Drosophila melanogaster: one gene and its partners. The gene in region 4 interacts genetically with the main gene of each other region. Each region holds a gene or a part of one and is shown on either strand. Other genes may lie near its edges.

Evidence for each region.
Region 1: of Dfd (region 4) and lab, changing one suppresses a phenotype caused by changing the other (phenotypic suppression), as found in Drosophila melanogaster (one study listed by BioGRID).
Region 2: of Dfd (region 4) and exd, changing one enhances a phenotype caused by changing the other (phenotypic enhancement), as found in Drosophila melanogaster (2 studies listed by BioGRID).
Region 3: of Dfd (region 4) and nej, changing one enhances a phenotype caused by changing the other (phenotypic enhancement), as found in Drosophila melanogaster (one study listed by BioGRID).

What each region holds. Positions count from the first base shown.
Region 1 is NT_033777.3:6,674,611-6,682,035, reverse strand, and holds the start of lab (labial), read left to right. Parts: upstream 1-3,445; 5' UTR 3,446-3,689; coding exon 3,690-4,905; intron 4,906-7,425. UniProt on the Drosophila melanogaster protein: Sequence-specific transcription factor which is part of a developmental regulatory system that provides cells with specific positional identities on the anterior-posterior axis. Required for proper head development.
Region 2 is NC_004354.4:15,989,703-15,998,721, forward strand, and holds exd (extradenticle), read left to right. Parts: upstream 1-2,997; 5' UTR 2,998-3,222; intron 3,223-3,233; exon of another isoform or gene 3,234-3,411; intron 3,412-3,769; 5' UTR 3,770-3,806; coding exon 3,807-4,071; intron 4,072-4,262; coding exon 4,263-4,581; intron 4,582-4,644; coding exon 4,645-4,903; intron 4,904-4,982; coding exon 4,983-5,270; 3' UTR 5,271-6,807; downstream 6,808-9,019. Other genes in the region: CG46312 (uncharacterized protein), read right to left, coding at 152-248, 1,381-1,402; CG8939 (uncharacterized protein), read left to right, coding at 7,422-9,019. UniProt on the Drosophila melanogaster protein: Transcription factor which acts with the selector homeodomain proteins altering the regulation of downstream target genes such as wingless (wg), teashirt (tsh) and decapentaplegic (dpp), thus affecting segmental identity.
Region 3 is NC_004354.4:9,680,924-9,688,571, forward strand, and holds the start of nej (nejire), read right to left. Parts: upstream 4,745-7,648; 5' UTR 4,627-4,744; exon of another isoform or gene 4,580-4,626; intron 3,229-4,579; 5' UTR 1,684-3,228; coding exon 1,629-1,683; intron 1,417-1,628; coding exon 832-1,416; intron 720-831; coding exon 351-719; intron 287-350; coding exon 1-286.
Region 4 is NT_033777.3:6,788,631-6,796,183, forward strand, and holds the start of Dfd (deformed), read left to right. Parts: upstream 1-3,205; 5' UTR 3,206-3,694; coding exon 3,695-4,481; intron 4,482-4,866; coding exon 4,867-4,967; intron 4,968-5,032; coding exon 5,033-5,210; intron 5,211-7,553. UniProt on the Drosophila melanogaster protein: Sequence-specific transcription factor which is part of a developmental regulatory system that provides cells with specific positional identities on the anterior-posterior axis. Homeotic protein controlling Drosophila head development.

The DNA of each region.
Region 1 (7,425 bases), 110 kb from region 4:
TCATTACAGGAGCGAACAAAACGCCCGAGTCAAAAGCTGCACAAAACCGAAAGCCCAGGAAAGAAAACGAAACAAAAAAAAAATGGCACAAATATCGATTTACCAAAAATTACAAAGGAAACCCGAAAAGTACCGCCAAGTTTTGTTCTTGGAGCGGTGACAGTCGGCGCCGGGCAATCCATCAATTTGGTTGCAGTGCCAATTACGCCAGTTACTCGTCACGTCACGTCTCGAAAACCGGCGGACAACGGACAGTGGACAGCGGCCAACGGACACCGAAAACCGGACAGATACGGGCTGCCGTGGGGAGACACCAGAGCTGTGTAGCAAGAATCGTATCGAACGGCGGCACTCCAAGTTCCAGAAGTTTTGGAGCTGTAGCTGCGGCGCCCCCATCAACTTGGCGTCAGCTTGTGGTCAGTTTTCCACTATTCCGATCGGCTGTAGAGGCTTGTCGCCTCTCGGGGCTGTTGGGAACGTCATCTAGCCCATATATCTTACTTCCGACGCTTTCATGGCGCTAAACAGACGTTGATGGCGCGACTTACAAATCCCCCGAAACCTATAAGGTGTGCGACGGGCACTTGACTGGACATTTATATGCACTAACGAGTGGTGTGGAAATAGCTTTTATGGTTAATCGATTGTGATATGATGAACTTTACAGATATACATACATTTATATTGGGATTTGAGTGGATCATAATTGATCAAAGCTCTATCAGATCATGATCAGAAATAATACAATTTTAAGGGTAATCAAATCAATGTGATTTACGAACGGTAATGCGTATATATATATATATATTTACATATATTACAATACTCAATACTCAATGTACTCAATATGTATGAGTACATGTTTTAATTTTATTTTTGAGCTTTTAATTATGTATGTATGTTTATCCTGGAATATTTTTAAATATTGTATGTTTATGTTATAGACATAGGAGTGTTGATCTCCCGCGCCTACAAAAAATACTAGAAAATATAGTTGCTTCGAATTGTCAATTCAAATGGGAATTCAAATAAACAATAGAAACCTCTATCGTAAGATATCGATACATATTACAAGACTAGCAAGCAAATTTAAAATATCAAAAAAGTTGGCGTGGGAGATTTTAAAACATTTAAAAAACAAATTTGAGCTGCGTCTTCGTCTCTCGGAAACGCCTCCTTCTGCCTGTTCAATCATTTACAACGTATCTAGTATAAAACCTTTATACTCTACGAGTAACGTGTATGAAAACAACTAATTAATAATTTGTACTATTACAAAGAGTTTTACATTTTAAAAAGTCATTAATTTACCATAAACATAATGCTCTCATTACAATGGATTTACACAAAAGTATCGAAAAATGTCTTTATACTACTTCAGTCTTAACGTAATTTTATGATAAAAGAAAAAGCAGAATATATATAACTTGTTTATTGCAGCAATATGTTCGTGTAAGAGTAAATACATAGAGAAAGTAAATTAACGGCTTCTGCCGTATGTACATAAATATAAATACTTAAACTTTAATGTTAAAGGCAATAACATCTTTGAGTTCTCAATTACGATTGTTAAACAACTTCATTACGACAAGAAAGATTGGCTGAGGGAGGAAGTATTGCATAACACCCCAGGAACTGTCAAAAATGATCCCAATCCTAGCTGAATGCTAAAACAAGGATACCTAAGCCTTGCATGTATTTCGCTTTAGCCATGTGAGATAGTTTCAGGCTTGGAATCGGGATTGGGCCGTGGTATGTTAGTTGTATATGTACATACATATGTATGTGATTACTGAAAGATACTCGCACACATCCTGTTACTATTAATTGCTGCTGTCCGAAAATATAACAAATCACCTTGGAGCGTTGGGCAGGACCGCCCGAAAGGACGAAACGAATGGCCACTCCAGCCGACCTCCCCCTCCGAAATTCCCCGTGCGAGTGTAGAGACAAAAACTTGTGAAAATGTCAATCAAGTTGAACAAAAAACGAAAAATTCCCAATCCGAGAGTGGAAGGAGCGAACCTCGAAGTTTTCCAGACAGCCAAAGATGATGCATTGTGCGTGAAAGGTGCATGAAGATATCTGACGGTTGTATCTCTATCCCTGCCAAGTGACAGACCCATACACCGGATAACTCTTAGGGGGCGCCTACGAATTGCATCCCACTGAGTCAGAGTCAAGGTCCGGAGATAATGTCAGGATTCGGGGTCTGTCGGGGTCGGGGAAGTCGTTCGACGACGATTTAAATTCAACAGTGCTGCCATAGATGAGCTGTCATATGTGCAAATGACGATTGACAGCTGCCACAGTCAGCATCCGTTTGCAGCTCCTCCTGGTCGCAACCCCGGTCCGCTCCCAAGCCGAAAACCCATTCCGAGTGCCCGGTTCGCATTTCCAATCCCATAGCAAGCTCCTCTTCTTTACCTGTCCGTCAATTCATTTGGGAATTTCGAGGTGCTAAAACGTGCCAAAACCGCAAAACAAACACACAACATTGGGTTTCCAGTTAAAACAAGACGTCGACATGAGCATGGTCAGGGGCGTAACTTTCAATACTATCAGCAGGCGGCAGGGGTGGATTAACTTGGACACGAACTGGGCCCAAAACATGTGCGAAAAGATTTTCGGGGCGAAGAGTTGTCTACTATTTAGTATTAATAAATACACATTTTATAAAGAGAATTTAATTACACTTGAGAAACCATTCAGATACTTTTAACAGAGAGTACTTTAAATAATACCTATATAAGGAATTAAAAACAATAATAACAACAACAATTTTTTGGATTAGAGCATAGTTTTGAATTAGTTTAAATTAGAAATAAATGGTCTTTATATTTCCCGACTTCCATATATGGCGAAGAAGACTTCGAGTAAAACTATTATGATGATAAGAAATAGTAAGTTTTTCTAATTGGCATACGGGAAGTGAATTGTCAATTGGATGTTTCAAAACATTTTAAGTAAGATCTAGAACAAGTTTCTTTAAAATGCTTAATGTTCTTAGGTGGACCGACGATCTATATAAGTGTTTCCCATTAATAAGGATCATTTTAGAGATCTGATCATCCCCAGCCAGTTCCACACCAGCTCATTGCATAATTTCAAGTTCCTTCATAGAACTCCCATCTTGAGTAGCCGTCAATCCGCTCCTGCCATGGCGACTAGCAAAAAAAAAACGAGCAAACAGGGAACGAGAAAATCTAAATGGAAACGGCAACTGCCAAAAACCGGTAGTTGAAATACGGGTATTTGTATATACGTATGACTAACCCCCGAACCACTGATAAGGGCAGTCATCCGAAGAATCCCAGGGAGCGAGCGAGACGGCAGTCGCAACACGTATGTAGCACACACGAGAGGAAGCGGGACCACAGGCAGTCTGCAGAGGGGCGTGGCCAAGACCAGCGGTTGTGCGGTCTGAAAGAAACCGGGTTCGGGCCAGTAATCAGTCACGACTTGGTAAGCGCGCAGGCAGCACGTCGTCGTCGTCATCGCCAACGGGAGTCGTGTTTTTCGGTTCGATACAGATAAAACCCACGTCGATAGCCCTCGACCGTCGCGTAATATTCTTAGAAAGCAAACAGCTAAAGAACTATTTCAAGAACTGTGTGGCAAGTGAAGGGTAGTTAGTGATACACCGGTTATATCGGAGTGGCGAGAAAGTGTGGTTCCGGCTGGACAATATGATGGACGTAAGCAGCATGTACGGCAACCACCCGCACCACCACCATCCACATGCCAATGCCTACGACGGCTACAGCACCACCACCGCGTCGGCGGCCAACGCCAGCAGCTACTTTGCTCCGCAGCAACACCAGCCCCACCTGCAGCTGCAGCAGCAGCAACAGCATCAGCATTTGCAGCAGCCCCAGCAGCACCTCACCTACAATGGCTACGAGAGCAGCTCCCCAGGCAACTACTATCCGCAGCAGCAGGCGCAGCTGACACCACCGCCCACCAGCAGCCACCAGGTGGTGCAGCAGCACCAGCAACAGCAGCAGGCGCAGCAGCAACAGCTCTATCCGCATTCGCATCTCTTTAGTCCCAGTGCGGCGGAGTATGGCATCACCACGAGTACGACCACGGGAAATCCGGGCACGCCGCTCCATCCTAGTAGCCACTCTCCGGCGGACTCCTACTACGAAAGTGACTCGGTGCACTCGTACTACGCTACCGCCGCAGTGGCCACAGTTGCTCCACCCAGCAATAGCTCACCTATTACCGCCGCCAATGCAAGTGCCACCAGCAACACACAACAACAGCAGCAACAGGCAGCAATCATCAGCTCCGAGAACGGGATGATGTACACCAACCTGGACTGCATGTATCCCACGGCCCAGGCTCAGGCTCCGGTTCACGGATATGCCGGCCAGATCGAGGAGAAATACGCCGCCGTCCTGCACGCCAGCTATGCACCCGGAATGGTGCTGGAGGATCAGGATCCAATGATGCAGCAGGCCACGCAGTCGCAGATGTGGCACCACCAGCAACATCTGGCAGGCAGCTATGCCCTAGATGCCATGGACTCGCTAGGAATGCACGCCCACATGCATCACGGCCTGCCCCACGGACACCTGGGCAACTTGGCCAACAATCCGCATCAGCAACAGCCACAAGTCCAGCAGCAACAGCAGCAGCCGCACCAGCAACCGCAACATCCGCAGAACCAATCCCCAGCGGCACACCAGCAGCACCACCAGAACTCCGTGTCGCCCAACGGTGGAATGAATCGCCAGCAGCGCGGGGGAGTGATCTCCCCGGGTAGCTCCACTTCCTCCTCCACCTCCGCCTCGAATGGAGCACATCCTGCCAGCACGCAATCAAAGTCGCCAAATCATTCCAGCAGCATCCCCACCTACAAGTGGATGCAACTCAAGAGGAATGTTCCAAAGCCTCAAGGTAAGTTGAGCTAGAAAGTAAACTCGGAATAGGGTTTCAATGGTTGAAACAGGCTCAAATTACTACGTCCCGAATGATTTTATTCCGTTTTTCTTTCCTTAAATAATCGAATTTTTATTCCCTTCTTTAAGTATTTTAGAATTATATAATAAATAAGGTAAATATAATAGAATACTGACACAAAAAAATGCTCCTACTGATATATTCTCTAAATAAATCAGATGAATATATAGGGTTCGGTTACTTTAAAAAATTGAATTCTCTTTATTTATTTTTAACACTGATCAAGTAGTCGTTTGATATTAAATACCTAATTAAATGCTAATTGAAACTATTGCAAATTTATATTCGTGGACATTTCGAATGACGCGAGTTGTAGAGGCGTATAGTGAAAAGGTCTTGTTGCAAATTTAGAACCAATAGATTAACCCAAGTCGTTTTATCAAGCGCTACAATTGCCTTCTTTCCTTGTGAATGGATACAAATACATTTAATTTGTGCAATTTTTATTCAAGTTGTTCGCACATTCGCAATGTCTGCATTCTAAGGGCAACTAAACGCGTCTCATTAGGCAAAGTCTCTGGCAATTAAGAAACCGCATTCTTAGCTAATTGCCATATTTTAACTCTTATAGTTCTCTAAACTCGTATAGTTCGCTCAATAGATCACATATAGCTTACGGAATGTATTAAGTTAATCGGACAGTTATTATGGAAAGAAATACACACACTTCTATACATACGTATGGTGATTTTTTTAAGAAAAGCATAAGAAAGAACCTCAAGTAAATACCAAAAAGCGTAAAACGATGACTTTCAAAACTGATTGACAGGCCAAGATACAAGAATCAGTCAACCAGTAAAACCAGAAGAAGATGAATAAAACTGTGAAAGAAATGACGTCGAACGAGCAGATTAAACAATATTATGAGTACATTTATAAGTTAGAGAACTTGGCCATCAAGAATAGATTGATCATAAGTATGAACAATTAGCACTGCAGAAATATTAGCAAACATAAAACAAGTGGATGCGTCAGACAAAATGTCAAGAAAGACGTCCAACCGAGGGCATGTCACCTAAAAATATTCCTGTCTCTTCAAATGCCAAAGATTTCGCCCACCTCTGCCCTCGGCTCTACAGCCCCCGGCTACAGAATCTCGATTCTCCCCGACCTCCACGCCCCTTTCCGCCTCTCATAACTGTCGCCGTTCTCCTGGACTCTCCTCCTTTGGCACATTTCTTGCATATTTCAGATAATTTTGTCAATGCCTGTGCAGAGTCAGTCAGGTTGTTACTTGTCACATTGGCGAGTGGAGTTTTGTATCTCGGAATTAGCCAGCTAAGAAAATGTATTCGCTTTGATAAAAAAGATCAGAAAAGTCCATATTGTATGCGATAAATAAAACGTCGTCGATTATCCAAAAGAAGCAGCTGCCACTGAAAAAACGAGTATTTTTATTGATACTTCGTGAATTGCATAAAATTCGAGCGTAAGCCTTTAATTGCTTTTCAAAGAGTTTGAGGTCAGTCGAATAAATAAATAAATAGCAACTAACTGAATGGGGGGGCACAGGTGTTTATGGCTCACCCTGAAATTTGTAATATACGTAATTGTTGGAAAAGGTTGTAGAACAAAGTTGAGGTCGAGTTTTGAATGGTTTAATTTCTTGGGTTAAATATTTCTATTAATACAAAACTATACCAAAGAAAATTATATAATTTAAAGCATGTGACCATGCTGAAAGGTTTTTCCAATAAAACAAATTGTATTTATTTGTGAAGGGATTAGCTCCGCATTTGTTACCCACATTGCCATACTCCAGCCATCCTTCCAAACCTGTTGACCGAATTCATTTGGCCTGTGGGCCTCTTCTGGTAATGCACTTAACCTGTTCATGAATCGAGTTGCACAACTGACGCTGATCGCTGATATCGGAGCATCGAGCCTCGGACCACTTACAGTTCAAACGTTAATCCCCCGGCTACACCAATAATCATACAAATATTTGCTTATTAATGCTGAAAAGTGTCATTTACATGCATCGTTTTCAATTAAACGACGCCACAGAGGCCCGAGTCGAACGCAACCGATCCGAGATCCCAGATTCCAGATCCCAGATCGCCGATCCAAAATCCCCACGCGCCGCACCCAAAACCGAACCTTACAGCTCGAGGCCCAAATACGAGCCCAAAAGCCCCTCAGATGACGCGTGCAAGTGGAACCAGGCGCTTAGATGGGGAGCAGGGTGGGGCAGAGAGGTGTAGATTGCACAGAAAGAAAACTAATTGGTTGAAAATATCAATTGTTGTTTCAAAAATAGGGTATTACTCGCCCACATATTGATTAACTATCATGGTAGCCATCCTTAGGTTTATTTTGTATCAACAAAAAGCTATTTTATAAGATTATTCTAGCTGGGAAATTTTATAATTTTAATTTTAAGACCCAAGTAGAAGTTCTTTAGATTCGATTTCGAATATGGTTTTTCTCAATGTGTTCTAGGGGCGACCGCAAGTC
Region 2 (9,019 bases), on a different chromosome or scaffold from region 4:
AAAAAGGCCCCTCGTATTAAACAGTAGCGAATTTAATTTGAATACCAGATTTTTTTATCGTAGAAACCCCGAGTGTGTGCATTGCAACAAAACGTCGTACGACTTGAATCAGCAATACTTAATGGTCTGGTCATCAGTGATTTGTGCTTACCGGTGATTTTTGGTTCGCCCTTTTGAATTCATGCACAGCTCGAACCCTTTACTCCGTTTTTTCTCAATGAGAAGTGTGGTTTTTTTTGCTGGTGTTTCTGAAAAATACAAATATAAAACGAAATGTAATTGCATTTAACGCACACGTTGGAAGCCAATAAAACTGCATTCGAATTGGAATTTGTACGGGACCTTATTGTATATTTGATGTTGCTTGAAACGTCAAAGCAAAAGTAATTGGAATCATTTAAAAACATAACACTGATTTGCACTATTTCGTGTTGCTGAGAGCCAAAAAAAAACTTATGGAACTGCTGGGTCTTAAAGCAGGGTCAATTTTAAAAGAAAAACATTCAGCAAATGGGTTAAGAGGTCGAGCGAGTATAAACTATTTTATTGTTTTGTTGTATCTTAGATATTAACTTTTGCAACCGGAAAATGACACTGAGAATTTCGTTAGGACCCCCCCTTGAATATATTCGTGTGTTTTCCCAACTAAATTGACGAATGTGACAAACATTTCAGTACGATTGTGATTCTTGTTCCCAACAGCCAATTATTAGCTAACTATGAGTAATTCTTTTATGTTACTCAAGGTCTGCCCTTTTATTATGTTTTATACGAGATTCTTGGGTAATATTAATAATAATAATATTATTTATTGGAATATAACGAAATTCAACGAATAAAGCTTGTCAAAGCACTTTTCAAGTGAATGGGTGTGTTACTAAATTATAAAACGAATCGCAGACATTATTTATTGCCCGATTATCGGTTTTCTATAGAACAGATGGCTTTAGAAATATCACGAAATGAAGTGAAGTCTGATCTGAAACTATGCATTTATTTATACGAAGTCTAAATCTTAATAGGTTTATATCTTATATAAACATATGCCATAATTCAGAAGATAAAGCATAATAAGCCACACAAATAAAATAAGAGAATGCAGTTGAATTCGCTGGATAACTTCTTTTTGCCTTTTACTTGTATCGCAATAGAAGTTTCTGGAATTCCTTTTTCAGAAACCATTGTATCCTTGCTTTTTTTTCGGTTGTGGGAGAAGGAAATGTGTTGGCTGCTTATTTTTAAGCTTATTTTTAATGTTAAAGTAACCTTGGATGGATCCGGATCTTGGTTAGTAGTAAGACATTATACAGTGGTCGGGATAAATATGTGTCTTAGATACAAATCGATTCAATGGGTTGTTGATGATTAACTATTACTTACCACCGTATCTTTCAAAAGTCATATAAGATTTTGTTTCCCCTCCTTTGGGGTGCGCAATGCCAGTTCGCAAATTAGACAAAGATATCGTACTCTCGGGTATTCTTTGTGAAGTCAATCGCAAATTGACTTGGAAAATATATATGGATAAATCAAAATCAAACAAATCGCACTGCCACGGGAAATCGATAACTTTTTTTTTTTTTGATAGCTCTGATTCCGTGCTAATATTGAAAAATATTAGTAACGCTTTTAACGCGCTTATGTATCGCAAAAATTGAAATTTTTGGTCTCTCAACTATTCTGCAAAGGGAAAGAAAATAAAATTAGGAATGCGCATGAACGAACATATGTATACCACTCCGTACTAAGTATTTCTTACATTACTTTAGTTTAGCTCAAATTTACTTATAATTTCGAAGGAAAAAGGTTAATTTAACATTCAAGTATATATATATTTTACATATATATCTTTTCCTATTACTTATGTATTCAGTACTTTTGTATAATGGCCATAAAAAACACTGTTGAAGCGTGATTTTTGTGTAAGCACGAAGTAAAGTAGCTTTATGCAGATATACACTAGACCCAACGTTACAAAAATTGTGGAAAACTGAATTATTTAGTATAGATATATATAAATGTACATTTTCATGCACGTATGCATTTACATATGGATGAAAGCCACGCCATTTAAACTTTTGAGGTTGTGTTCGTTTTGGTCACAATCACTTTTCAATACCTTTTCCACAAGTTTTCTATAAAGCGTTTCTGATCACAATGAAAGTAAATTAATAATTTTACTGAATTAACCGTTTAAGAAAAGATTTTCTCCGAAGTCCACGAACATACGACTAAACGTCACAGCACAATATGACCATAACGACTTTAGTGGGCTGCAGCCTATCACTATCGATTGGCCGAATATGATGTGAATGAATTTTAGCCTTTTCACACTTTCACTTTTATATAATTTATATGGTATTTATTAAAATGAAGATATGTAATAATACGCTTAAAAACGAAAGACCATTTTTAAAAATGAAGTTGACTAAAATAGAAACAAATATATGTGTTATATAATTAAACGTAGTTCCAATCAGCCTTTTAAAATATATGTTATAAGAGTGGATCATCTGTATTTCTTCTATATTCCAATACCAATATACCACATTTTTTGTAGAGGATATCTTATTTATTTTATTGAAAAAATGTTTAAAATATTATTTCAAGAGCCACATTTTAAATAGTATCGATACCCAACTCGCAGTGAGTAAGCACTAGAATGTAACTACGGGTAAGATATCGATTGTCCACGTTTTCACTAGCAAATATAAATTGCATTTTATGGAATACTTATCGATATTCTTACAGTACTGGAAAACTTTTTCATATCGATTTATTTTTCTGCGTATACAGAACGTACTTTCGTTTCATTGTTGTCCAAAAAAGATAATAATATTATATACTTGCGGTTATTTACAACTGCAAGTAATGTGTCACTAATTTTTAGTGAAAATAACACAAAATACGACTTGTACGGCAAATAAGTATACGAGGCAATCACGATAAATAAAAAACCGTGAGTATGGAATTTCAAGTGGACGCTTCTCAATACTTACATGCACATATATCGATGTGTGGATATGTACATACACCTTGTTATAAACAGTTTAAATCTTTTCTGACGTAATAAAATCTCAAGAATGTACATGTAAAACCAACAAAATGTTTTCAAACTGCATTCAAATTAATGCTTAACCATAACCTTGTGTGTATGTAAATATAAACTTGGCAGGTTGATTTTTTTTTACCATTCTGCTGGCACTAAACATACGTACAAGTGTATGTATGTGATGCACTCGGCGTCATTTATCTGTACATGTGTAAAATGTAACGTTACCTGTGGTACACAGCAATAAATAAATAGAAATAAGTTCATAAATAGTTCGGGTAACTGCCCAGCTTCGTGCTACGCATCTGAGATACTTTTTCACCCCCAAAAAGATATGCCGCTTCATGAGATTGCGACAGGTGGAGATTATTGCATTTCCAATAGGATACCAAAATGTCTTTTCACTTTTGCTCAAATGTCTGGGGGATTATTTTGTGGTGGGGTTTGTGGGTTTAATGGCTTTGTTGGTATCTCTTCTATAGATATGATGAATTTTGTAGCAAAAGATTTAATTGGTGTATTTGTTTTCAGTTTGTTAAGTATACATTAACTCAAGTTTTTACTACATTTTTAAGGGTTTCAAACTTATGTTTTTATATAAAAAAGAAATATTTATTAAATAATAAAACACTAAAAAATCGAATTGGTAGAAAAAATATTGGGTTATTTCCTTTTTTCTTGCATGATTTTAATATTTGATGTTTAATATTATTACAGAAACTTGGATTTGTAGCTTGCTTTGTGTTGCGGCACCATGGAGGACCCCAATCGCATGTTGGCCCACACCGGCGGCATGATGGCTCCGCAAGGATACGGCTTGTCTGGCCAGGATGATGGCCAGAATGCCGGCAGCGAGAACGAGGTGCGCAAGCAGAAGGACATCGGCGAGATATTGCAACAGATAATGAGTATCTCGGAGCAATCACTTGACGAGGCCCAGGCCAGAAAACATACACTAAACTGTCACCGAATGAAGCCGGCACTTTTCTCTGTACTTTGCGAAATCAAGGAGAAGACCGGTAAGCTTAAAACCCTATATTTATCTCTCATTCAAGACCATCAAATAAGTTGAAATGGTATTATGGATTTTGTGATTTGCTTGTGATACAATTGATTTACTAAATCAAACACAATTCTTAACGTAATAGTCTTAAAACGTTCAGTATGAAATTATTTTTATCATTCGTCTTCTTCGTTAAAACTATTACAGTCCTCTCGATTCGCAACACCCAGGAGGAGGAGCCCCCAGATCCGCAACTGATGCGCTTGGACAACATGCTGATTGCCGAGGGCGTGGCCGGACCCGAGAAGGGCGGTGGCGGAGCAGCGGCTGCCTCTGCGGCTGCGGCCAGCCAGGGCGGTTCCCTGTCCATCGATGGTGCTGACAATGCCATTGAGCATTCCGACTACCGTGCCAAGCTGGCACAGATCCGTCAAATATATCACCAGGAATTGGAGAAGTACGAGCAGGCATGCAACGAGTTCACCACGCATGTCATGAATCTTCTACGCGAACAGAGTCGCACGAGGTTGGTGTATATAGATAAATGCAAAATGATGGCCATCATTTGGGTAATATAATCGTATTTCAGACCCATTACACCAAAGGAAATCGAGCGAATGGTGCAGATCATCCACAAAAAGTTTAGTTCCATACAAATGCAGCTGAAGCAGTCGACCTGCGAGGCTGTAATGATACTTCGTTCGCGTTTCCTGGACGCACGCCGCAAACGCCGCAATTTCAGCAAGCAGGCATCCGAGATTCTCAACGAGTACTTCTACAGTCACTTGAGCAACCCATATCCATCCGAAGAGGCCAAAGAGGAGTTGGCACGAAAGTGTGGCATCACGGTAAGTAGTGTAGGGCACATTAATCAACAATGCAAATCCGATTGCAGCATAGTAAATAAAACAAAACACACTCATGCAGGTCTCGCAAGTATCGAATTGGTTTGGCAACAAGCGTATTCGCTATAAGAAGAACATTGGTAAGGCACAGGAGGAGGCCAATTTGTATGCGGCCAAGAAGGCGGCTGGTGCTTCACCGTATTCCATGGCCGGTCCACCCAGCGGGACAACCACACCCATGATGTCACCCGCTCCGCCACAGGATTCCATGGGCTATCCAATGGGCTCCGGCGGATACGACCAGCAGCAACCGTACGACAACAGCATGGGCGGCTACGACCCAAATCTCCATCAGGATCTAAGCCCCTGAGGATCAGGGCTGTGAACCACTCCCAGTCCGGAGAATCCCTCATACAGTTGCGGTCAAAATAACTGCGCTGAAAAATCTAACATGCAGTTTTTTCATAATTATGCGGCTTATATTTGCTTCTTCGCCAAGAACAACAATTCTTAAGGGATTTTTAAATTCAGCTTTCTGTCCTTTGGTTTCGAGTCAGATAAGTTTAAAATTCCCATCAATTTAGATATAGTTCCGATAGATATACATAAATACGTGAGTAGAATATAAATACGTAATAGTTAGTTTGTGCTTGCTACATTTTGGTTGGCAGAAAAAACTTTGCCTGCTTAAATCAAAAAAGAAAGTAAATAAGCTGATATGGTTTTTTAATTGACACAGTCTCCTGCTTTTTAACAATATATGCATGCAGGATGTATTAAGAAGTCGACAATTGAATAATGGCCTAATTAAGAATATTTTTTGCCCGAACATAAAACGAAAAGTTTGCTCGCTTTTTTTTTTTAATTCACAATCAATTGAAATGGAAAGCATGTTGTTTGTGGCATGTCAACTGTAAAATACATAAATACGTAATAATTCGCTTAAGCGATTATAATTTGATCAACGTTCTTTAAAAAGGGTTAATAACCAATGCAGTGACTTTTTCTGCATAGCCCCATTTAGCTTATATATTAACCATCGAAAACATATGCAAAGAAACTCGATTAAACTGGTAGTATACGAATATTTTCACAACGAGTGGAGGAGGCACAAGTTTCAGAGCTATTATTTTGACCGCAGCTGTGTATAAATATATTTTAATACATTTACCTACATTTGCGGGTATATACAAATATTGCATGTAAATCATACTATGACGATTCTTTTTTGGCTACAGTACGTATACGACAGCAAAATAGTGTTTACTGAATTTAAAACTGTACGAAATTTTTAAAAACTTGAACAATACGAAAATACGAAACTAAACCATGTATACGATGTATATCAAATAAATAAATAATACATGTTGTTGTTATCCGCACACACGTCAACTAATTACAAAAATATTTTGAATGTAAAAACGGAAAAGAAAAGTCTTGGATAAACAAAATGTCACATTTCTATCGAAGGACGAATTGTATTATTTAACAGCTTATAACATTTAATAGATTTATTAACGTGTATTTTAAAAGTCTCAAAACAATTGTTTGTTTCTTACATCCTAAAAAGTATTAAACATTAAATCTTAATGGATTTCTTGCTATAAAAACGAACTTCCCAACTTAATTGCATTATAAAATCAAGAACAAATTCGTCTTTCGCTTAGTAAGAAGTGTACACTACTCTTTGCCCCCAATTAAAACGGATATGAAAACAGATTATTTGAAAGTATACAAAACGATTATAATTTTAAATGATAAATAACATATGTCTTTGACAGACTTTCGCTCACATTACGGTCAAATGAAACCATTCAATGTATTTCAGTAAGTAAGGTACTGCATTAAACATTTTGGATAACAATAGAAAAATATATAAATACACAACTTTACACAAATAACTTAATAAATCAAAACGAAGTATTAATTAATGGTTTTTTGGGAGTATTAAAGAAAAGGGCGTTATCCTTTGCAGATAATCTATACACGTAATAGAAAGAGATGGAGCATCTGTAGATACACTTGCTCTTCTTTAATTAAAACTATCTGGCTCACAGATAGAAATCATTCTTTTATGTGGGGTTGGTCAATAAAAACAGAAGAATTTTAATTTTTTAGATTTTTGGCAGCTGTAAAACAGACAAAAAATTTTAATTTTAGGCGTATTTTATTTTTATTATGGTTCATTACGGCTTAATGTACTTCACCCCACATCTTACAGTTATTCCCAAAAGTGTGTAGTAATTTATATAAATCACTTTGATCGACCAATTTTAAATTTATAAATAATAAAGTAGAAATTTTAAAAAAATTCACCCGCTGCCCCAATGCATTCCACAATTTAAGAACACGTTCCACTTATCTAGCACTCAATCGCCGCTACCTTGACGCGCATGCTGGCACTGCCCGGAATACTTTGAATTGTCAATACGGCCACACTGTTGGCAACACGTGCACGAATTCGACATTTGATTTGAATTCGTTTTGATTTTTATCGTAATTGTACGAAAAGCCAGCAGCAATGGGCAAGAAGACGAAAGTTGGAAAGACGCGCAAGGATAAGTTCTACCAGTTGGCCAAGGAGACGGGCCTGCGATCGCGTGCCGCCTTCAAATTGATCCAGCTGAATCGCAAATTCGGTTTCCTCCAACAATCGCAAGTATGTTTGGATTTGTGCGCAGCTCCCGGTGGCTGGATGCAGGTGGCCAAGCAGAATATGCCGGTGTCCAGCATTGTGATCGGCGTGGATCTCTTTCCCATCCGTCCCATTGCCGGCTGCATTGGTCTCGTCGAGGACATCACCACCGAGAAGTGCCGCCAATCGCTGACCAAGGAGCTGCAATCGTGGAAGGCCGATGTTGTGCTCCACGACGGTGCTCCCAATGTGGGTAGGAACTGGCTGTACGATGCCTATCAGCAGATCTGTCTCACCCTCAACGCGCTCAAGTTGAGCACACAGTTTCTGCGCAACGGCGGCTGGTTTGTGACGAAGGTTTTCCGCTCCAAGGATTACAATGCCCTGCTCTGGGTGCTCAAGCAGCTGTTCAAGAAGGTGCACGCCACCAAGCCGAGTGCGTCGCGTAAGGAATCCGCCGAGATATTCGTCGTCTGTCAGGGCTACCTGGCGCCCGATCACATTGATCCCCGTCTCCTGGACTCGAAGTATGTGTTCGAGGAGCTGGATCTCGATGCCAAAAAGAAGAGCAGCCTGCTGCATCCCGAAAAGCAAAAGCGCATCAAGGCCGAGGGCTATACGGCCCAGGATATTGCGCTGCGCAACGATCTGGCTGCCACAGAGTTCCTGAAGGCTGAAAATGCACTGGCTGCGCTGCAGGGCATCGGTTCGATTCGCATCGATGATCAGCGCATTGCCAATCACAAGAAGACCACGCCAGAGATTCTCGAGTGCTGCAAGGATCTGAAGGTATTGGGCCGCAAGGATATCAAGGGTCTCGTGCAATGGTGGAAGGATGTTAGGGAGTTGTTCGTTGAAAAGGAAACCCCACTGGTCGTCGGCAATGCCGCAGATGAGAAGCCCAAGCCATTGACGCAAGCGGAAATCGAGGACATGGAAGATGCCGAGCTGCAAACGCAAATTGAGACAATTGTCGAAGAGGAGAAGAAGGACTTGAAGCGTAAGCGTAAGAAGACGCTCAAGACCAAGGCGAAATTGCACGAGAAGATGAACCTTAATATGGTGATCAAGGGAGACGATGGTCCGGTCGAGGAAATGGAGCACGAAATCTTTGACCTCAAGAATATTCGCACCTCTGCCGAGCTTGACGAGCTGCTAGACGTGCAACCCGATTTTGCTGTCGATGAATCGCAGCCCGAGGAAACAAAGCTGCCAAAATACAAGTATTTCGACAAGGATGAGGGCAACATCAACGATGATCTAAACTATGACGATGACAATGATGAGGAGCAAAGCGAGGCCTCCGACGACGAGGATCAAATCAATGATAAGCAGGGCCTGGGCCTCAGTGACGACGACAATGATGAGGGCAATGCAAAGGGCAAAAACAAGAGAAAGAAACGCTCCGAGAATCCGCTGATTAAATCCAATGATTTCCGTGACAAAAACACCAAGCGAGAGCAACGCGTACAGCTGTGGTACGA
Region 3 (7,648 bases), on a different chromosome or scaffold from region 4:
TGCTGCTGCGCCAGCATCTGCTGCTGCTGAGGATTCCCGCTTACCAGCTGCCCCGCGGGCCCTGATCCATCGCCGCCGAGTGTGGACATGGGCACCACTGTGCCAACGGGCCGATTACCCTGCGGCATGCCCGGTACGACGCCACCTCTTTGGGCCATCTGCTGGGCGAGAAGTTGTTGCTGCTGTTGCTGCTGCTGTTGCTGAGGATTGTTACCACCGCCTGGGCCACCATACTGACCCACTCCGTAGGGCAGACTGTTGAGTTGAGCTGCAAACGGACGGAAATCTTACATCAGCCATCGATTCAATTCCATGCTGGAAATACACTAGATCTGGCACTAGAAACTCACTCATTTGCATGTTCGGATTCTGCATGCGTGGTCCTCCGCCACCAGGCCCGTTTCCTGGCCCACCAGCTCCTCCAGAGGCACCCATGAGATGCGGGCCACGAAGCATATGCTGTTGCCCCACCATGCGTCCCATCATTGGGCCGTTCTGCATATGCATGCCTTGGTTTGCGGCAACGGCTCCTCCGCCGCCAGCTCCAACGCCACCAGCTCCTGCTCCAGGTCCTCCGGGTACTGAAACGGAATTGATCATCCCACCGCCGCCGCCGCCAGGCTGCTGCTTAAGATGATTAACCATGCCGCCCATGCCGCCGCCAACGCTGTTGGTCAGCACCATGTTTCCCAGATTGCCCTGCGCAATGGTGTTCATGCCTGCGAAAGATATAACATAATTTGGGTTTTCAGATAATTGTTGCTATATTCATTTGGTTGCATTGGCTAGGATAACTTGGATATCCAATTACAAGGAAGAACGATTAATCACCTGGTATGGCGTTCATGCCATTGTTGCCATTATTCGATATTGACATGGGCATTGAGTTGACCATACCCATCTGAGTGCCCACCACCTGCTGCATGCCGCCCTGGTTGGGTGACTGCAGGTTGGGCGACTTGCTGCCCAGCTGCTGCATGCCGGGCACCACCATGGCGCCCTTCTGGCCCTGCTGCTGCTGCTGGAGTAGGTGCTGCAGTTGCTGGTGTTGCATTTGACTGATTCTGTTGCCCGCTCCTGAGCCGTTGCCACTGCCGTCGTCGCCACCCGTTCCGGATCCGTTGCCGCCGCCGGCTCCGTTCATCTGGGAAGGCACAACGCCGACGCCAACAACACCGCCGACACCCACATTCACTCCAACACCGACTCCGCCTGTGCCAGAGCCGGGTCCTTGGGCTGCCGGCTTGTTGGGTCCGCCACCGGGATTTGGGCCGGATGTGGGATTTGTGGTTACACCGGAGGCGCCGCCACCTCCATTGCCACCGCCTGCTCCGCCGGTCAGCTGATCCGACCAGCCACTATTCGAGGACACCAGCTCATCGGGCAGGTTCTCCTCCAGAAAGTAAGAGATATCCGCTGGAGGAAGATACAACCAAATTGTTTTTAGCAAGGAATTTTCTTAAAAAAAAAAATAGTTGGATAGAATTAATTGCTTTTTCAATTCCGTAAGGAATTTATTAAAAATTATGAAATAACTGGAGAATACAAGTTTGATAAACTAAAACTAAAAGTTATTAACAAAAAAAAAAAAAAAATGAGAAATCGAATATTCTGGTTTCGGTACTCACTTGGATCCATTTTAACCCGCTTTTGGGGCGGTTCGTCTAAGTGATCGGCCATCATATAGAGTTAGTTTGATTCTTTCGATTCGGAAAAAAACAGAAACGCAGACGAAAAACGTTCGAAAAATCTGAGTAGTATTGTTTCTATTAGTTTATAAAGTTTTTCTGATTTTTCGCTTTTTTTTTTCACTAACTCTCCAATGATCCGTCTATGTTGGAGTTCGAGTGTGTTCTGATATTTTCGTTATTGGAACTTGTCAAATCTTCTTTCAGAAATTATTTGTCGCCTAGCACTTTGACAATTGTTGCACAGGTTGTTTGTTTGGTTAAGTGTTTAGTGTTTTAAGTTGTAGATTTCTTGATTAGTTTGGACACTTTGCAACACACGCACGCACAATACACAACACACAAAGAGGCACTCAAAAGGCGTGGCTGGCGAGGATTGGGATTTGGTTTTGGTATTGGTGTTTTGGGATCTTGTAATCGATGATGTTGGCGATGCTTGCACTTAATGATGATATTAACGCTGCTGCTCCGCTTTTTATTGCTAAGGATGTGGCTTCTGTTGTTGTTCTTGTTGCAGTTGTTGTTGTTGATTTAGATAATTCCTTTGCTAATTGCCGCTGCAACGACAGCAACAACGTAGCCGGCGCTATCGTCACCGCAACGTCAACGGATGGAGCTGACCACCACCACGTCGTCGGACCTGTGCCCGCTGATCCTTCTGCTCCCACACCCACTTCCACTCCTTCGCCTTTTCCCTCTCCTTCTGCCGCTTCCGCTGATCCTGGAGGATCGCGCAGCCACCACCGCCTTCTCGTTGCGGCGCCGTTGAGATCGTTGTCGCCGCCACTGGCGCTTTGGCCAGCAGACAACTTTTCCACCGCCTGGTGCTCCTCCTGCTCCTGCTCCTCTTGATGCTTGTTCTTATCCTGCGTCCGCTTGACCAGTACCTCTTCTTCTTCTTCGACTTCGGCCCTGCGCTTTTTTAGCTGCAATTTGTTTTTGCTGCTGCTGCTGATGCTGCTGTCGTTGTTGTTGTGGTTACTGCTGCTGCTGCTGCTGCCGTCGTTGTTCTCGTTGTTGCAATTGTTGTTTGTCGAACAGCAGCAGACACACGCGTGCATTTTGTGTTGTTGGGCCCCAAAAACACCAAAAGTTGACCTTGGCTGGGCGGCTCTTGTTATTGTTTGTTTGTTTGTTTGTCTGTTGTTGCCTGCCTGCCTCCACTGAGCGAAAAAGAACGGTTCTTGGTTTGGCTCTCTCCTCTTTCTCTTCCTTTTCTTTCCGCCTTTTTCTCCGCTATCTTACATATTTTATGTGATTTGTTTTTGGCGGCTTTTTGTTACACAGGAATATATATATATATATATAGATATTTTGACCATATATTATATATGCTTGTGTTTAATTTTGATTGCACTTGATTCGGTTATCGTTTACAATTAATAAGGAAAAAAAAGCAATTCACATTGTTGGCTGTTGTTGGGTTTGTTGTGTTTCGGTTTGTTTTTGTTGCTGGCGCGCTGCTGTTGTTTTTGTCGATGCTGATGTTGTTGCTGCTGCTGCTGCTGCCGACGTTTGCCGCTCTAGCATTACACATTAACTGCAAACGCACAAGAAGAATAATACACAGCCTATTAGATTATGTTGAATGGACGAACACAAATCGAAAGCAATATTTATTTATTTTCTTCTTTCTTTTTTGTAATTTAGCCGCGCGCGAGTGGACAGCGAAACCGAGGGGAAAATGGAAACAAAACGAAACTAAAATGCGACGAGACGTGCCGAAGACGGGGCGAAAAGGGAAGAACAACGAGAACAGTACCGAGAATTCTCTCGGTCTCGTTGCACTCATCTGTGTGCCGCTTGACGACCACTCACTCTCTCTCTCTCTCTTGTCTGTTCTTGCCTCGCAATTTTATTCGCCAATACTACCAGCGCTGTACTCGTTATTTTACTCGCAGACGTGTGTGTTGGCCTCTCGCTCTTTTGGCGCACACCACGAAAATGAAAATAATAATTTCATTTTGCCGCCAGTCCCCTAAAAAATATGGAAAACAAGTGCCGTCGTTGGCAAAAATATACTTTGAAACATGCTTAACATTTTTATGACAAATACATTTTTGGAAAAAAAATTTCACACCTTTACAGGTAATAAAAGTCAGAGCACTGCTTAAAAAAATTAATTGAAGTATCAGCCAGTTGCGGCTGTAGTCTATAGTCTAGTTTATAAATTAAATGGCCGAAAAAGTGGCCGTATTTTGGTTTTGCTTCCGCATTCGAGCGGCCATCATATGAAATTCAATTTGTTGGGGCGGCGAGTGGCGAGTGGGGTGCGAGCGGGATGACACTAGAGTGCAGTGGGGCTGGCTGACAAAAGCTTTCACACACTCACGCACGCACACATTTGGGGTTTGGGGCGCGCGTACAGAATTCTCACAGCGACGCCAACGCCGTTTTCACCACACAGTTACACACACGCACACTTCGAAAACAGCGAGTTCGTGCAAGAGCGAGCACGAGTCCGAGAGAGAAAGCATGCGATGGTATTAGTGCCAAGCGGCATTAGTGTGCAATATACACACGACGGTAAACGGCAACGAGTGCGAGGAGCATTGGAAAAAGAAAGAAAAACAGACGACAGAAATATATTCCATTTTTTTTCTGTGTTCGTTCGTCGTTTTCGTTTCGTTTTCTTCTTCACGTCGTTTCAAAGTTTCTATTGCAGAAATTTTTTGTGTTGTCTCCGCCAGAGCGTTTTTCATTTTTCCCGGCCCACACAAAAATCGCAAAAATATTTGGCGAAAATACGAAATTCAAGAAAATGCCGTAGAAAATTTGAAAAAAATTTCAGCCCGATTTTGGCCGGTATTTTTATTTTTCCACCGTCACCGATTGCCACGCACTAAATTTCTAACTATACTTTGCAATTTTGCCGAATTTCGGTTTTATACCATATATTTTTCACATTTTCCGGCGATTTTATAAAAATCCCACAAACTTTTTCGCAACACTAAAACAAAAAAATTTCAGTCCGCTTGTGTTAATCGTTCTCCGAGCCAAAAATGTTTTTGCTTCAGTGTGACCGCGGCTAGCCGTTCAAATACACCACCGAGCTCGGAAATACACTAAAATTGACTGTTTAACACAACACGCGAGTGGGCTCTCGTCGCTCTCGCGTGCTGTTTGGCCGCTGTTGTCGTACTGTTACGACCCGAAATCCATATAAATGCCTTTGCTAGCAGTCTGTTGGCCCCGTAACAGCTGTTAACCGCTGTCGGAACACTGTTTTGCTCTAGTCCCTCGCTCTCTGCGTCGGCGAGACCGCTCACGCCATGCGCTCCCAAAGAGCCGATACGCACACACGCGCACACATATGGCGCGCCAGATAACGAAGCAGCGAGTCCAGAGATGACCACATGATGACGGTGACACATTCGCCGATACTTTTATGCGGTCACTTGAAAATGTGCACAAAGAAGTTTTGTAAGAAACATCATTGGTTGGAGACCAACATCATTATGAAATGAATATTCTTTGCAGCGTTTTTGAGATCAAATAGGTATTCCAAAAAGATGTTTAATATGAATTAATAAATCAACATCTTGAATGAGTGCAGTTGTTTAGAATTTTTTGTTTAAAAAAGTATTTGTAGACATTAATTTTGAAAACGTTTGTCCATCGTAAAAATCTAGTTTAAAGTTCTTCAAAGGAAAAACGATATTTACAGAGGATCACGTAAGTAATCGAGTCATTGGATTTGCGCATCTCTGGTGGGTTCAGTGTTAGCGTGTTTTCCGTTCGCTCTTGCCGTGAGAGACAAAGAGAACGTGTGAGAGAGAGGCAAGCCGAAAAATCAGCCGCCGAAGGATACACTATCGTCGTCCTTGTCCGACGAACCGGTGGTCATGCAAACAACGCACAGAACAAATTAATTTTCAAATTGTTCAATAAATGTCCCACTTGCTTCTGTTGTTCCCCCCTTTCCGCTAGCGGAATTTTTTATATTCTTTTGGGGGCGCTCTTTCGTTGACTTTTCGAGCACTTTTTCGATTTTCGCGCGCTGTCGAACGGCAGCGTATTTATTTACAATTTTTTTTGTTAGCGGCCGCCGTTGTTTGTTGCAGATACACAGCGCACACATATAAGCTTGCACACTGATGCACACACACCGACACGTTGTCACCGAAATGAACGGGACGGCCATATGACTGGCTGGCGCTCGGTATGTGGGTGCAAGCGAGATACCGCGATCAAGACTCGAACGAGACGGGTCAGCGAGTGATACCGATTCTCTCTCTTTTGCGATTGGGAATAATGCCCGACTTTTTACACTACATGCGTTGGATCTGGTTATTTAATTATGCCATTTTTCTCAGTATATCGGCAATTGGTTGCATTAATTTTGCCGCAAAGTAAGGAACACAAACCGATAGTTAAGATCCAACGTCCCTGCTGCGCCTCGCGTGCACAATTTGCGCCAATTTCCCCCCTTTTCCAGTTTTTTTCAACCCAGCACCGCTCGTCTCTTCCTCTTCTTAACGTTAGCATTCGTACGAGGAACAGTGCTGTCATTGTGGCCGCTGTGTAGCTAAAAAGCGTAATTATTCATTATCTAGCTATCTTTTCGGATATTATTGTCATTTGCCTTTAATCTTGTGTATTTATATGGATGAAACGTGCTATAATAACAATGCAGAATGAAGAACTGAAGAGTTTCAAAACCTAAAAATAATTGGAATATAAAGTTTGGTTTTACAATTTGATAAAACTCTATTGTAAGTGGAGCGTAACATAGGGTAGAAAACAGTGCAAATCAAAGTACCTAAATGGAATACAAATTTTAGTTGTACAATTGAGTAAAATGAGCAAAGCGCCTATTTTGGATAATATTTGCTGTTTACAAGGGGAACATATTCATAATTTTCAGGTTTAGGTTACGCATATGTAGGCGTAAAGAAATAGCTATATTTGTAGAAGTGCATATGCACTTTATAAAAAATTATCCTACATTAACGTATTTTATTTGCTTTAAAACCTATCTGAGATATTCCAATAAGGTAAGTGCAGTAATACAATGTAAATAATTGCAAATAATGTTGTAACTAAATACGTAAACAATAATGTAGAAGTCCGGCTGAAAGCCCCAGCAGCTATAGCCGATATCTATATGATTTAAACTCTTGTCTGCAACGTTCTAATAAATAAATAAAATGCAAAATATAACCTATTGAGACAATACATTTATTTTATTTTTTTATATCATCAATCATCTACTGATTTCTTTCGGTGTATCGCCTAATCCATCTGTGAAATAGAAATGGCGCCACCTAGGTTAAGAAAAGATAAACAGTTGCCTTTAGTTGCATGACTTCCCGCTGGATGGTGTTCAAAAAGCTATTACATAAGGGTGGGTGTCATGGCTATTTGCTCTTTGGGTTATTGTATTCGCTGTTTAAAACTGCGCACACAAATAATATTTTAGATTTAATGTAAGACAATTTGTATCAATAAAAAAAAAACAAAGTGAGCTTCGGTATTTCGATTTAAATTTGTTTAACAAAGTAGGCATTGAACATAATTTCAATCACAAGACAACCGACCCACAAGCAAAACCCTCATTTCTACTTTGACTCCCAAAGAAAACACACAACGTAAAAATTATCGAATAACAAATACGTTTTGGAAAATTTAGAATAAAACATGAAAGTACGAAAGTCAAACCAGGAAAAGCCAAAAAAAAACAAAATAAGAAAAACAATACATAGATCATTTAAAGCTAAAAATAGGCTAGCTAATAAAGTGCCTCGAGCACGCACTTTAATGCTTATGGTGGAGAATGAGATAATGTATAATAAAAATATTAATGAACAATTACCTGCACGGGTTATTGACGATTCAGATCCGCCGAAAAGCAATACACCAGAATCCGAAACGTAATGTAAGTTGTGCATAGATTTAAAACTAAACTTGACATTCATAAACAAATTTATTTATTTTTTTTTTTTTTTGCTCGTTTCCAT
Region 4 (7,553 bases):
ATCATTTATTTTTTGTCATATATTTTATAATATCACAAAATGTAACGGACAAGAAAACTGACTTTACAAAATCGACCTCAACTAGCTTTAGTTTAGCTTTAAAAAAGGGGGCCCTAAAAATCAAACAAATTACATTGAATTTATACCAACATAAATAAGACATAATTAAGATCTTAAGATAATTAGGATATATATTATACAATATAAGGACTGACTTTGGTTTTAGTGATGTTTCACATTACAGACTGCTTCAGACTATTTCCTATATAAAATAATCAAATTACAACACTCTGCAGTGGTATCAAACACGCTGGGCGTCTTGGCGTTGCCAAAGTTTAAAAACAAACTTGGGCAGCATGTTTTTTTTATGTGTTGCTAAAATTTCCATGTTCCTTCATTGGGTTAAAGCTTTAACATACAAAAATTACAAAATAACTTCAAAAAGTTTTAAGAATTGAAAGTTATTCCTAATTTTTCTAAATATACAAATTGTTTTAAGGTCTCTTGTGCCATTCCAATGATTAGCATTTACATAATTGCAAATATTAGTGAACTTATCAGTTGTTGTGGATACCACCCATTTTGCATAACATTATTCGATCGCCGTAGAGTGCTTTTTAATTTTATATCACAAAGTTTTGATGGCTGGCTTAAAGAAGCGAGCTGAAAACAAAGAAAGTCCATACTCAAAGCATGGTGGCTCTCTATATGTATTCGCATTGGTGGTCGTAATGTGCCTCAGTGGATGTGGATGCGACATCATTAATCACGTTTCAGTGTGTTGCCTCGTGCAGCAAGTGAACTTCCTTCTGCCGCCGCCTGACAGTCGCAACTGATTGCTGGATCTGAATTGGGATTTGGACTCAAATGCCCCGGACAAAGAGCAAGCAATAGCAACAAACACCCACTGTCCCCCAACCGAGCCATCCTCGTTGTACCACAACCCATCCTCCCTGCTGGCTCAGGGAGCCCTCATCCCTGCGCAAGCTGGGACTTTCCCAAACCTCCCACATCGTGCTTCCATCCACCTAAGGAGCTACGTCAGAACTGAGAAAATTCGATGTAGCAGCCGCTAATGCAACTGAGTTTTAAAGGTCCTCAAGCAGCAGCCATTCAGGAGTGTAATATGCTAAGCATGGAATCTAAATTTGGTACTATCTTTAAAAATTTTAAATACATAAGAAATTAAATAACAGTTTTCTGATTTTAAATTTTCGAGAAATATAATAATGTAATTTAAAAGCAATTATATTTTTGGATTTGGACCAAAGTTATTTGTAAACAAATATGCGTAATGAATCACACAGTAAAATTAGTAAACATGGAACTTCCATTAATTAACACTAGCTGGTCAATTAATTCGAACACTTTAACGTGGAATGAAGACCTAAACCAACATTTACTCCTATGAGTCTGGCCGACGGACCACAGACTAAATTTAAGTTTTATAAACTTAACTAGCCTAATGACGTTTTGATGGTGACCATCAAAATCGAATCAGTTGGAAGTCGATTAATTAGTGGCCATGCCCCTATACCGCTCACATATGGAACTGGTGAAGGAGGTGGCACAGCACGTGGACCTGATTGTAAGGGGGTTAAGATATTTTTGGTGGGTTTACCGGAGGTCCAATTATTCGGCAATTAGCCAGAGTCACTTTCAGAAACACACTCCAGAAGTGTGACACGAATTTATGCTCAATTTAACTTTTATTTGAAGTGAGTTAGGGCAGCTGGCTCTATAGGGTCAGCAGATTTCAAACTTATTAAAATATATATCACAAAAATTTAAAATCTGTTGAATTCATTAAGCGAAATAATCAAAAGTTTGTATGATATTACCTATAAATAAATTGTTAATATTCCGCATTGCTCGAAGTACGAATTTAAAAGTACAAGCCATATTTTCTTTTACCCACATTATGGATTGTTATGAATCAGTCTAAATATTTACTAAAAACAATATTAAAGCATTAAATATCCAACCTTCTCGATGTGCATTATACAACAATCATTCTATTGATTTTCCACGTTTCGCTTGCTCCATTTGAATATGTGCCCGTCATCGCCATAACAACAACATCGGAGGAAAAATCACGGTAGTAATGACAACAATAATAACAGCCTTAGCCCCAGCCAGACCACAACAATAATCACAGAGGAGAACAAAGTGATATTCGTTGGTTGTTCAATTGAAATTGTTGCAAGTCAGCTCGGACTCTCCAACTCGGTAGCTGAATTCAGACGAAGAAATCGGCATCCAATAGTACCGTCCCCTCTTTACGATCAATACTGTTGTTACCCACGCGTTCTCTGCATCGTTCCTACAGAATCCATTTATGAAAGTGGAAAATAAATGGTGTGCTCCATATCCACACTTACGTCTTGTCCGGGATCGATGAAAGCCTTCTGAAAATGGGCGGAGTTTCTTGGGTCCAGACAACTTTTTCGTCGAGTTCAATTTTCGAGCGTGCGCCATGACTTTGAAGGTACCAGCACACTCACAGCAAAAGTACAACCAAAATAGTAAGTCTGAGGGAAGAACAGTCGAGGGTAGGTAAGTAGGTGTGCTAATGAGCTAAACAGTGCTGTTTGAGATATAAATATAACATTGAATCAATTCAGAAATCCTATTTCTCTATGTAGACAATTGCGTTTTTAATTTTCTATTCGATTTACTGTCATTTCAATTTATTAATCCTTGGAAAGTAAAATAAGCTTATTTCGTAAAAAAATAAATAAGACGTTACTAAAATATAAAAAAAATATATACACTGTACAGTAAAAGTAAAATTATATTTTAAAGTTTTAATTAATGGCTTTTTATTTTTTTTTTTTAAGAATACTTCTTTGAACTAGTTCAATATTGTATGCCTTGACTGTTCACGCAACTCAAAATGGGTGTGACCAAAGATCTGGCCATCCCGCTTTAACCACAATGCTCCCTCTCAGTCGCGCTTGCGAGAGAACTATGGTCAGTGGTGGAAAATGGCGTACGAGGCGAAGGGTGAGAAAAGGTGAACAGACATGGCTGCTACATATGAATGGCTTTATTTGTGCGCGTGTGTGGGCCGTCCTTCGATTGCTTCGGCAGTGAAAACCCGTTTTGATGGCAATGGCGGTGAGAGAGAGCGAGCGAGAGCACAAGCAAACAAGAGCGAAGAGTGGCGAAACAGGTTCGCTCGCACGGAGAGTTATCGCCAGCGAGCATAACAAAAAATCGGCTCGAATGGGACGGTTCGTGTTCGCAGCGCACTCGTAAGACCGAAACGTCCGACTTTTCTCCCTGTGTGGGATTGAAATTCGTTGTAAAAACGTTTTTTATAACCGGAAAATAACACCATAATCAAGTTTCTCAGAATTCCAAGGCCCCACGGCTTTTAAAAGTGACAAAAAAGTGCAAACAAAGTATAATCAAAACAATAAAAGTGAAAATTATGAAGACAACGGGAGCCTTCTAACCCCTTTGTTTAGTTAAAAATATTAAAAAGAATACGAAATTTATTTTAACCAACACAATCTTAAAAGTAATTACTACTTGCAAAAGCAGCGCCTTTAATCAATAGTTAATGTACTAAAAGCAAAAGGTTCGGAGTATGTGCAATCCAAGTGATAGTGCCCAAGAAAAAATCGAATAACAAAGTAATAACCAGGAAAACGCATCCGGTGAACCCCGATCCAACAGACCTTCCGTCATGAGCTCTTTTCTCATGGGTTATCCGCATGCACCACATCATGTCCAGAGTCCCATGTCCATGGGCAATGGCTTGGACCCAAAGTTTCCGCCGTTGGCCGATGACTATCATCACTACAATGGACACTATTCGATGACCGCATCTACGGGTCATATGAGTGGTGCCGTCGGCGGTGGTGCAGGTGTTGGGTCTGTCGGAGGTGGTGGAGCAGGTGGGATGACTGGTCATCCGCATTCCATGCACCCGGCGGACATGGTCAGTGACTATATGGCGCATCACCACAATCCGCACAGCCACTCCCATTCGCACACCCACTCACTACCGCACCACCATAGCAACAGTGCAATATCTGGACACCACCAGGCATCCGCCGGCGGTTACAGTTCCAATTATGCCAATGCCACTCCGCCCTCACATCCGCACTCGCATCCACACGCCCATCCGCACCAGAGCCTCGGCTATTACGTCCACCACGCCCCCGAATTCATATCCGCAGGAGCGGTGCACTCCGATCCCACGAACGGATACGGACCGGCGGCAAACGTTCCAAATACGAGCAATGGCGGTGGTGGCGGAGGAAGTGGCGCAGTGCTCGGAGGTGGCGCAGTGGGTGGATCGGCAAATGGATATTACGGCGGGTACGGTGGGGGTTATGGGACGGCGAACGGAAGTGTGGGCAGCACCCACTCCCAAGGACACTCGCCGCACTCCCAGATGATGGATCTGCCCCTTCAGTGCAGCTCCACGGAACCACCGACGAACACGGCGCTGGGACTGCAGGAATTAGGTGAGTCCATACTAATAGAATTTCTGTTGTCTCTTGGAATCCGTTGAGATTTGATAGGAGGATATACTTAGTACTATTTCAATAATCTGAAGATTATCAATCGATCCTTATATTAAATATATATTTATATTTATATTTATATAATTATTTTTTTTATTTATATATCAATTCCATAGCAAAGTCATTTTACATTCGTATATCCAAACCTTTTAAAATGTCTAGGGAGCAGATTGAGAAAAACACTTAAAATAAGCCCACAAGATTGTTATGCCGCATAGTAATATTAAAAAAGATCTAATATTTTGTACATATATAAGCCCTTCAATTCGATTTTAGCTACTCTAATTACACTGTACCAAACTAAAGTGACTTCCATTCCATGCAGGCCTAAAACTAGAAAAACGCATAGAAGAAGCTGTACCTGCCGGACAACAACTGCAAGAGCTAGGGATGCGATTGCGGTGTGATGATATGGGATCCGAAAACGTAAGTACTTGCAGCAGATGTGCCAAGAGAGAATGCGTAATCGAGGCCTTGATTGACTTGTTTAGGACGATATGTCAGAGGAGGATCGGCTCATGCTGGATCGATCTCCAGACGAGCTGGGCTCCAACGACAACGACGACGACCTCGGGGACTCAGACAGCGATGAGGATCTGATGGCGGAGACGACCGATGGCGAACGGATCATCTACCCCTGGATGAAGAAGATCCATGTGGCGGGAGTTGGTAAGTTGAAAGTTTCTCTTTATCTCCTGCTCTCCCCTTCGCGCCCATGTCGTGTCCCATTTTTCGGGGTATGCTAATTAAATTACTTAGCTGCCAACACCCACTTGATTCACTGACAGGCCCCTGTAATGTTCGTTCCTGGGCGAAACCCAAAATGAAAATAAACAATCTAAAAGCCAAAGACACCAGCCAACCGAGTAACTTAAAAAAGAAAACTGCGACTCCAAGCTCATTAATCAAAATCAAGAGTGCCACGCCTTGCGTCGAGGGGCGAACCGTGTTCACCAAACGACAAGTTCCTGTACATACTACTCCTATATAATATAATATAATGCACATAACGTTAAGTGAGTCCCACTCGCTGCAATCAGCACTTTAAGAGGCTCCTGGTTATTAGGCCTCTTCAGAGGTTCTTTCAGCACTTGAACTGACATAAAATCAACTTGGACTGCTGAATGGTACGGTGCCAATTGATACATCATAAAAAGTCATCCTGGGAATGTAGTATAGAGCTGCATATATATGTAGTTTTTTTTTTTAGGCAATTGAAACATTTTTGTCTAGGAAGAAACAATCGTTAAATTAAACCTCGAAGATATTTTAACGAACACTCATTCTCATTTCAATGTTCTTCTGAAAAATTGTATGTATCCATTCATATGCTTAGCCCCCAGAAAATAATTTCCAGGCTCTCTGAATTATACACAGTAATTTTCTAAGGCCTACAATGAAAGCTTTTTCGACTCATTCTTGGCACAAAAACTGAATGCAACTTGGACATGGAGAACAGGTTTCTTGCCTGGTTTCATTCACCAGATCCAGAGACCGACTGAATGGGCTCAGTTGAGTTGACCTGGCAGAAATAATTACTAATTAATTGTCACCCCCCAAACGGGGAATTCATTCAGCCATGTTTCGAGTGTGTTACCAACAACATCTGACGGCCAACTGTAGATTGTCGTCGCTTATTGTTTTAATAAAACCAAAATAGGGATGCCACGGGGCGGCAAGTAGGTGACGAATGCGTTTCCCAGAGGATCGGATGGAGGTCTGAAGCTACTGATAGATTGCTTTTTAATTAGCACAGCACAGTACACAGGGATACTCCAGTTCGACCATAACCTTGACCCAAATGGGTAATTATAACGTTTCGCTTAACGCCACTCCGACTCGCTCATTGTCAAATGCCTCATCGGTTCATCGGGTTCCCAGTACCCACTCCCGATTTACTTGACTGTGGAAATTTGTCGTTTCACTGAAAAAAATATAGTACATAATTCAAAGTTGGCTTCAAACTAAAGGGTTTTTAAATAATTTCTAATTTTTAATAATCCAATTAAACATGTTAACATGATGAAATTTGGCTTTACAGTAGGAACCGAGGGTCATATAAAAGCAATGGCTTAACTATATTATTAATATATACCATTACACATTTATTGTGTTCGTACCGGTTTCTAAGATGCTATTTCTAATATTGGGACATTTAAAATAAAACAACAAAGCCCGCATTTGATTTTCTTTATTGTGGAAAGTTTTTCTTAGTGTCAGCATCAAAAATCAAACCCAAAAACGAAATATCGAAGTTGTGCGGCGCGCAGGGAGACAGGGAAACGATCGCTCGGGGGCATATTTGACACAGTCGCAAGGTACACCATACCAACTTATCTTCGGGCTCATGCTCGGATTCCGATTCCAAGCCCCCGCCCCTCCATCGGTAGGGTATAACTCCGACTGAGTGACGGATGGTCCGTGTCATTTGATGTTAATGTTGTGACATTTATCATGAGCGCACGACCACGAGAACAAGACGGGGCTTGATTATCGCCAGTGCATCATCTTATCCAGCGTCTTGGCATCCGTCTCCTTCTCCGTCTCGTTGTGCCCCAAAACGCAGACCCGTGACCCCGGGTTCCCGCCGGTGTCATGTTATTCCCTTTACAAATGACTTACACTCGCTTAGCACTTGCCCGAAACTAAGGCCCAAACTATGAATGCCGCTGATGTGGCGTGTGGTCTCTTGCCGAATTTAATTTGCTTTGGCCCTGCGGCGGCCTAAAACTTGTTTCAAACTTGTGCCTCCGTCGAATGAGAGAAGCAGAGCTAGGTGTGAATCGCATTTGGAGAGCAATTTGTGGATTATTTAATAGGTGTCATTAAAAGTGTTGAAAGGTTGTGAAAAATTAATGGAATCGGGCTGCAGTCAGGTTGCAGTTGAAACTCTTAAGTTTGATGTGATGAACGAAAATAAACAGAGCGCTTATATTAATAATCGAATCTATTTGATTAGATAATTTATATCGCCTTAAGTAAGTGTATTACATTGGACAAATCCAAATACAA